Linked DNA regions of Callithrix jacchus. The protein of the gene in region 1 interacts with the protein of each later gene in a pairwise test. Links are inferred from orthologs where the notes say so. Each region holds a gene or a part of one and is shown in the gene's direction. Other genes may lie near its edges. The genes, in order: SHTN1 and FABP3.

Region 1 (3,077 bases):
TTCCACTCTGACTCTCTCTCTGCCCTTGATCCTACTGCCACCCCCTCCCAAGGTCTGGCCAGGTCTCCTCTAGTTGGTAATGGCAGCAGCAGGCATGCCTCTCACCTGTCCATCAGTGATCAGGGGTAATTACTTCCCCTCGTCCATGCAGGCTCCTCAGGGATGCCCTGCAACCAGCCATACCCAGGAACACGTAGGAGGGAAGGGAGTTAACTGACTCCTTCCAGCTAAGTGAGGGTGGGCGGGAGTCTGGGCAGCAGGCCATGAGGAGAAGTTCACAGTTTGTCCATGAGCTTTACGCTTCCTGAGAAGAGCATGCAATTAAGCAGGTAGGTGCGTTTGGCTTTCTTATACTTTGGTAGTTAGTTAATCGCTCTTTCTCTGCCTTCTTCCTTCTGGCCTTGTGCTCCTAATATCAGCTGTGTAATCCGATAGCTTCATGTTTTCTTTTAAATGGCTGGCATCTCAAAGATGACTGTATGCATGTTGATTAGACTTAGAACATTTTGGGTTTTATGTTGTTCTGAATACAGAATATCAGAGACAACTATTTTCTCTCTCTGCTTTTTATTTTTATTTTTTATTTTTGTCTAACTCTTCATCTCATAGGCCTCCCAGTAGCATTGGATGCAGGAAAAAATACTTTGATGGTGAAAAACAAGCCGAACCAGTTGTAGTTTTAGATCCTGTTTCTACACATGAACCCCAAACCAAAGACCAGGTTGCTGAAAAAGATCCAACTCAACACAAGAAGGATGAAGGCGAAATTAAACCAGAAAACAAAGAAGACAGCATTGAAAACGTGAGAGAGACAGACAGCTCCAACTGCTAATCCATAAACCAGAAGCCTGACATGTTTGGAAGTCCTTTTCAATAAGCACACGACTAGTGTGGGTGTATTGGCAAGGGCCATAGACATTCTGCTCTGGTCACTGTATTCAGAACACAGGTTCTTTTCTGGTGTCACTTTTGTAAGTAGCAACTATAAACATAAGTAAGCTGTTTAGCAAAATACACGTTCCTAGTAGGTTTTGGTTTTTTGATCTTTATAAAGATGAGATTTTCTTTTCCTAGTTGCTGTATTAAGTATGACTTCCTTTAGAAGATTACAAAAAAATTCAGATGTTGATACCTTTTTAGGAAATGTGCATACCACTCATCAAATGGAATGATGAAAGTTTGAGGTGCTTGTGGATAATTTGATAAACAAAACTGATCAACCTAATACGATTTTAAAAGCCCCCCCCAAGAAGCTTCTGTTTTGGGTCTGATCCTCTTGATGGAGAAACTGCAGCAGCATGGAAATCGTTGGGTACTGTGGCATACAAGTTATTTTCTATGGTAGACTGAGATAAACTTAAAACTCAGGAGCTGGCATCAAACTCATAGTCCCATAGTCAGTGTTAATTACACACATTGTTAACTATTGGATGAAAAATACATGATATTGATTGTGTCCAAAGCCTCCCAAGGACCTCCGAGGGGATGCTCTGGTAGCCTGAATACAGAATTGAGGTGGAAGTCTAAACCTTGAATTTAACAGTAATACGCTGGTAAACCAAGTGCTCTGTGCTATGAGTTAATTATGTTTTCCCATATACTAATGTGGCACAAGTACCGTATTTTATCACAGTTCTTATGTACAGTGAAGATAAGTGACAAGCACACATTTTTCTTGCTTCACTGCTGTTCTATATTACACAGGTTTGTTGTTTTTTTAAAAAAAGAAATTAAGCAGTAGTTAGTCTCTAAGAATACAATGTTTCAGGCTACCACAATGAATAAATAGAAATGTAATCAAGGATTTAAAAAAAAACTTATGCAGCTTTTCAAAGTTGATTGTTTCAAAATTGGTGTTTATTTAAAATAAGTGGTAATGTACTTAAATGCACTTTTTATGACAATGATTCAGTAATGGTAATTTTACTATTAAAGAAAGTGAAAGGTTTAGTTTTGTTAGCATGGCTCAGCATGTAGCTTTCAGGTGTTTTTCACCTAAGGGCAAAAGAAAATGATAGTAATAATTGCAGTAGTTGTATTGTATTGTATTTTTGCACGTGTGGTAAGCATAGGCTTGAAGAGGTGGGTAGGCAGGTACATGTACTTCCTAAATTTGGAGATAATTATCTTTCTGTAATTTCATTATGCTTGACTATTTCCATGTTCTCCCAATGATGAGTTTACAGTTACTTATCACTTTACTCATGGAGACTTAAAATGTAATGTTTTTCAACTGTATCTTTCCTTGACTGGACAATACTGCTATATGATATGCTAACTACAGACTGCATTAATTCACTAAGCGAATTCTGTTATGCTGTAATATGAACTCTCCTCACCACAACTTATTAAAAAGGCACCAACAGTTTCCCATTAAGGGTCAATTGTAGTTATTATCAACATTTTTGGCTTAGCTCCCGAAGCTTGACGTTCTTTAATAGAAAACTGTATACAAGTTGACAACTTTAGTAACTTTTAATAGTCCCTTAGATGGTTTGCGTTTTCTTTCATGTTTCTTTGTGCTGTCTTCCTTCTTGCATCTGTGATCCGTCTGCCAGTATGCAACTCACACACATTTAAGAATATAAATATGTGTACACTGTCTTTCCATATTTCATCACACCATCAACACAATAATATGGTTATCCAAACACCTTCCTTTCTGGAGTAAGAAGTTGCCCTTTTGGTGAAATGTGCTAGCTGGACTAGGGAACAGTTCGTATCAGGTATTTTGAGAGTGTTTTTACGTTTTTTAAGCTGCTTTGTTTCTCCTACTGTGATTACAAAGAATTTTAAATTAATTTGACATAAAGTATTTGATGTAAGATTGTCACTCACCTTTTCTGCCTAGAGTTTTTCCCTTTTCACTTGGATTTTGAGGGGTTTTTGCCCCTGGCTGGGGTGACATTGTCAACCAAAGCAAGGTATTCCAGATAGGAAGACATAGGAGAACTATGCTTATATCTGCAAAGTATGTTCATAGCTGTTGCACACACAAAACTTACATGCAACCTGTGTACACGATTTTAAGTTGGAAGAGACTGCATCTTGATGTTTGATTTCTCTAAAAGGTTATT
Region 2 (4,615 bases), on another chromosome or scaffold:
TTGGCAGGCCTCAGGGCTCCTGTGTTGGCTCCTGCAGGCCCACCCTGGACAGGCTGCTGCTGGCTGAAGTTCAGTTCCGCACTACTCCTTCATGTGCTGGGCCTCCTGCCATCACTCAGAAACTAATTTATACCTCACTTCCTCTGAGAAGCCTACACTGAGCCTCAGGTCAGGACAGGACTGGACCCCCGTTAAAGTCACATTAGTTTTGTGTTTGGCTGCCCAGAGGTGAGTATGTGTTTCGTTCCCTGTTGTCTCTCTTCAAAGCAGGGCCTGGTACAAAGTAGGTACTTTAATAACTGCTGAATTAATAAGTGAACTCAGAGCTTCAGCTTGTTCATCTATTTAAAAAGACAAGATAATATAGTAACACCTATTTCATGGATTTTGTTTTAAAAGTTCAATGAGGCCAGGCTTGGTGGTGTGTGCCTACAGTCCCAGCTTCTTGGGAAGCTAAGGTGGGAGGATCCCTTGAGCCCTGGAGTTTGAGGCTGCAGTGAGCTGTGATGGCATCACAGTACTCCAGGCTGGGAGACACATTGAGAGACCTTGTCTCTAAAAAATAATAAAAAAATGAAAATTCCAATGAAACAATATACCTAAAGCCCTCAGCATGCAATAAATATCAATACAAGGCAGGTCTTACATCCACTCAAAGTGCTTAGTGAACTATACAGTGTCAAACCACTGCACAACAGGCTCTGGAAAGGAGGCAGCAAAGTACCCAAAGTGCAGAGACTTGCTAGTGTGAACAGGTCAGGGAAGGCAGCAGGTGGGGAAGGCAGCAGTGGGCCTTGAAGAGCTGACCGAATTGGCAGAATTTCTGAAGGAGGGTGAGCTGGGAAGGAACTGAGCTAAAACTTGGAGCTGTGCGGATAGACTGGAAAAGCCCGAAGCACTTGCAGGGGCGGGTGGGGAGTTGGATGGTAGGATGGGGTGGGGTGGGGTGGGGTGGGGCGGGGCGGGAGGAGGGCCAGCATGAAACATTCTGCAGGGAGGGGCAAGCACGTGTGAGCAGGCGGGCGCAGATGCGAAAGGTCAGGCTTTCGCACAAAACAGGCAGAAGACAAGGTCAGCTCAGCCGCAAACGGAGCCCCTGGTAATTGTTTCCGCCACCAGGCAGTGGGAGTGAAGGGACAGCGCGGCCTTGCTAGGCTAAGCTTGCAATCTGAAGATCCATTCACCCGCTATTTCTTGAGACCTTGCCAGTTCCCCGCTGAGCCGCGGGCTCCTCACTTGTAAAACGAGGACGGATGCCTGCGCCAGAAGTCAACCAGAGTTTTTCCCGGCGTGGGCACCAGCCCAAGGTCGAGTTTTCCTTTTCTAGTCTCATCTCTGCTCTGACCCCAAGCTCAAAGAGGGACTGGGCTACGGAAGATATCCATGGCATGCGCCCCAGCTCTCCGGCCGGTGCCGGCTGCTTCCTTCTCGGATTCCAGAGTGCCTAGAGGCCAGGAAAGGGAGATGGTCCTGCCAGCCTGGGGTAGAGACTAGGGGGCCAGGCACTGGCGCTGACGCAGGCAAGCAGGGCGCCACTGACTGGTCCCCTCCCACCTCGGCGGGTTGGGGGATGGCGGACCAGCCCCTCCTGGGTGAGCCCTAGCCTGGGGCTTCCTATTTCGGGAGCCGGGGGCGTGGGCCACGTCTCATGTGATGCGAGGGCTATTTAAAGCAGCAGCCCGGGCACGGAGCCGCCGTCCGAATCTTTGCACGCCTGCTCTCTCGCAGCTTGTCTCAGCCTAGCCCAGCATCACTATGGTGGACGCTTTCCTGGGCACCTGGAAGCTAGTGGACAGCAAGAATTTCGATGACTACATGAAGTCACTCGGTGAGCAAGCCGCGGGGCTCTGGATGCTGGCTTGGGGAGGGGCTGGTGGCATCCCTAGCACCACGCAGGGCTCCTGCTGCATCCCTCTTGGTTAAGACTGGGGAATAGGGGAACGCGGAATGGCGGCCTGGGCTAGGGCAGGTAGAGCCTGTTCGGAAGGGGATTTCATGGTCCAAATCTGGTTAGAGACCATGGTAGGGAGGTGGAGGAAGGAGGCAGCTGTGTGGGAGGCTCTTTCCAGGAAGACAGATATATGATTTGGAGGTAGGAGGAGGGTTTGGATAAAGAACACTGATCACAGGAAGGGGAGTCTAGTCAAGGAAGAGAAAGAACGGGGCATGGGTAGTTTAGAAATTGGAGGAGACTGAACCCAGAAAGGGAATGGGGCAGCTAGGGAGTGTACTATGACCTTAAACAAGTAGGAAATACCTAGGAGGAAGATCGGTGGGGAAAAAACGTGTATCAGTGAATCAGATATGAGGATGAGGTAAGACAGGGACCTTCAGTAAGCAGCAATCCCCATCTCTCCATGTTGGATTAGGGAAGGGGATTGTTGCTGAAAATGCTCTTTCTCCCAAGCTAGTCTGACCTTGTCCTGCGGTGATATGTAACCAGGCCTTAATCACTGTCTGTGAGCCTCGTGGTAGGGTGGGGCAAGAGGCCCATCATCAGCTGGGCCTTTCCTGCAACCCAAGGCTCACCCACCTGTGCAAAGGGTAGGCAGAGAAAGCCATTGGACTTCTACTGTGCAGTAGAGGGTGTCAGAGCAAGGTCAAGACCTGGGAGGGAGGTTGACTGGTTTAGGAGGCTGTGAAGAACTGCTGTGGTGTTGAGATGGTTAAGAAAAAGGATTCAAAGAATCTTACAGGTGAGGAACTTGGAGATTCCCATACCGTCTGGTTCAACAGGGAAATTGAAACCAGGAGAGTAGAAATGTATTATAACAATTCCACAGCAGAGCTGATATGAAAACCTAAGGTTTCTAGATCTGTTACCCAGAGCTCTTTCCACTACCCTATAGGCCCTGGGAGTGGGAAGCAAAGTAGGAACTGCTTAGCTAATGATTGACCTCAGCCCTTCTTCTACTGCTTTGGTCTGATGGAGAGGTCAAAGCTCTTAACGGCCCCTAGTCTACCCTGGGCGCTATGCCCAGTAATTCCAGGTAGGCAGTCATTCTTAGAGGAACAGCCCCCCAACCCCCACTAACACACCCCAGCAGCTATTGGGAAGTTGGAATGCCCAGACTTAGTTCCTCCTTCCAAAGCTAGGCCAGAGTCGAGTCCCTGGACTGAGCTGAAACAACTTTACCACTGTTGTTCCCTTATTCCGCCCCAAGTTGGGTGGGTGGGGAGCGATCTCCCTAAAGACCTGTTATTTTTCAGCAGCTTATGCTAAGGCAGCCTGCTTTTTCATAGGAACAGGAAGCCTGGGAAAAGACCCTCCTCAGCTCTCAGTAAATAGCACTGGCTTCATTTCTAAGTAGAACCCAGATCTCTGAGTCTCCTAAATTCTGTCAGCTCAATATTCTTAATTTCTCTTGGTTCAGACCCTCACTTATCCCACAGTGGTTTCCTCTTCAGACACTCTATACCTCTGGGTAGGTCCTAAGCAAACAGTCCTGCTCTGTGCATGGGAGTGTCATTGGCCTGACTTCCTGACACCAAGGGGCAAGGCCAAGTTCCTCACTGGCCAGGCAAGGGTAGGCTGACAGCATAGCCCCTGCCCCTCCTGCTGTAGACCTAGGGCTCTCAAGGGGCAAAGAGGTCCCATCTAGTACCAGTGACCACCGGCACAACTGGTGGCCTGGATTGAGTATGTGCTGGGCAGAATGGCCTAGTGGAAACAGTGAGCCGTTTTGGAGCCTAGATTCAAATCCGTCAGTAGTTTACTCCGTTTGAATTTCGAGGAGACACTTCACTCTCTATTGTAAATTGGGGATAATCTAAGCTTCAGGGCTGTTACAAGCATTAAGTACAACTCATGTAGGGCATGTGCAGAGTACCTAGCTCCAGTAAGCACTATGCAGCCAGGCACATTTGGAGACTATACACACCACTTCACTACACTGGACTGCCTCCTGCCTCACCATTGCCTTGGAGGACAGCTCAGCATAAGCTGCTGGGGGGAGAAGGGGCAGTCATGATTAGTTCTTTGTTCTTTACTTGCTTGCAGGACACGTAGGACTTGCCTCGTACCCAAGGAAGCCATGCTTGGGTCAGGAAGATAGTCTCTGTAGAGCCTTAGACTAGGAGTCAGGAGACTTGGGTTTGAATCTCACTCACTGTTTTGTTTTGTTTTGGTTTTGAGATGGAGTTTCACTCTGGTTGCCCAGGCTGGAGTGCAATGGCATGATCTCAGCTCACTGCAACCTCTGCCTCTTGGGTTCAAGTGATTCTCCTGCCTCAGCCTCCCGAGTAGTTGGGATTACAGGCGTGCGCCACCACGCCTGGCTAATTTTGTATTTTTAGTAGAGATGGGTTTCTCCATGTTGGTCAGGCTGGTCTCAAACTCCCAACCTCAGGCGATCCATCTACCTTGGCCTCCCAAAGTGCTGGGATTACAGGCATGAGCCACCATGCCCAGCAGAGTCTAATTCATTGTTGCTACCGCTTTAGACCCTCCTCAATCTGTGCAAGAGGACAAATACTTCCTTTGTATCTAACTCCTAGATCATAGATAACAGGCTTTGAAAATGTTGGGTTGCCATATATAAGGGACAAGAGCACATTTAATGCTTCTTAGTTTCAGGGTAAAAACTTCCAAAGGTGGAAAACTCTTATTACTCCT

What was found.
Region 2: the proteins of SHTN1 (region 1) and FABP3 interact in binary tests that used the Homo sapiens proteins (3 or more experiments, as listed by UniProt). The two-hybrid records come from large-scale screens. The link is inferred for Callithrix jacchus from reciprocal best matches to the Homo sapiens genes SHTN1 and FABP3.

What each region holds. Positions count from the first base shown.
Region 1 is NC_133513.1:109,830,236-109,833,312, reverse strand, and holds the end of SHTN1 (shootin-1), read left to right. Parts: intron 1-609; coding exon 610-832; 3' UTR 833-2,377; downstream 2,378-3,077. UniProt on the Homo sapiens protein: Involved in the generation of internal asymmetric signals required for neuronal polarization and neurite outgrowth.
Region 2 is NC_133508.1:68,013,241-68,017,855, reverse strand, and holds the start of FABP3 (fatty acid-binding protein, heart), read left to right. Parts: upstream 1-1,693; 5' UTR 1,694-1,755; coding exon 1,756-1,828; exon of another isoform or gene 1,829-4,615. UniProt on the Homo sapiens protein: FABPs are thought to play a role in the intracellular transport of long-chain fatty acids and their acyl-CoA esters.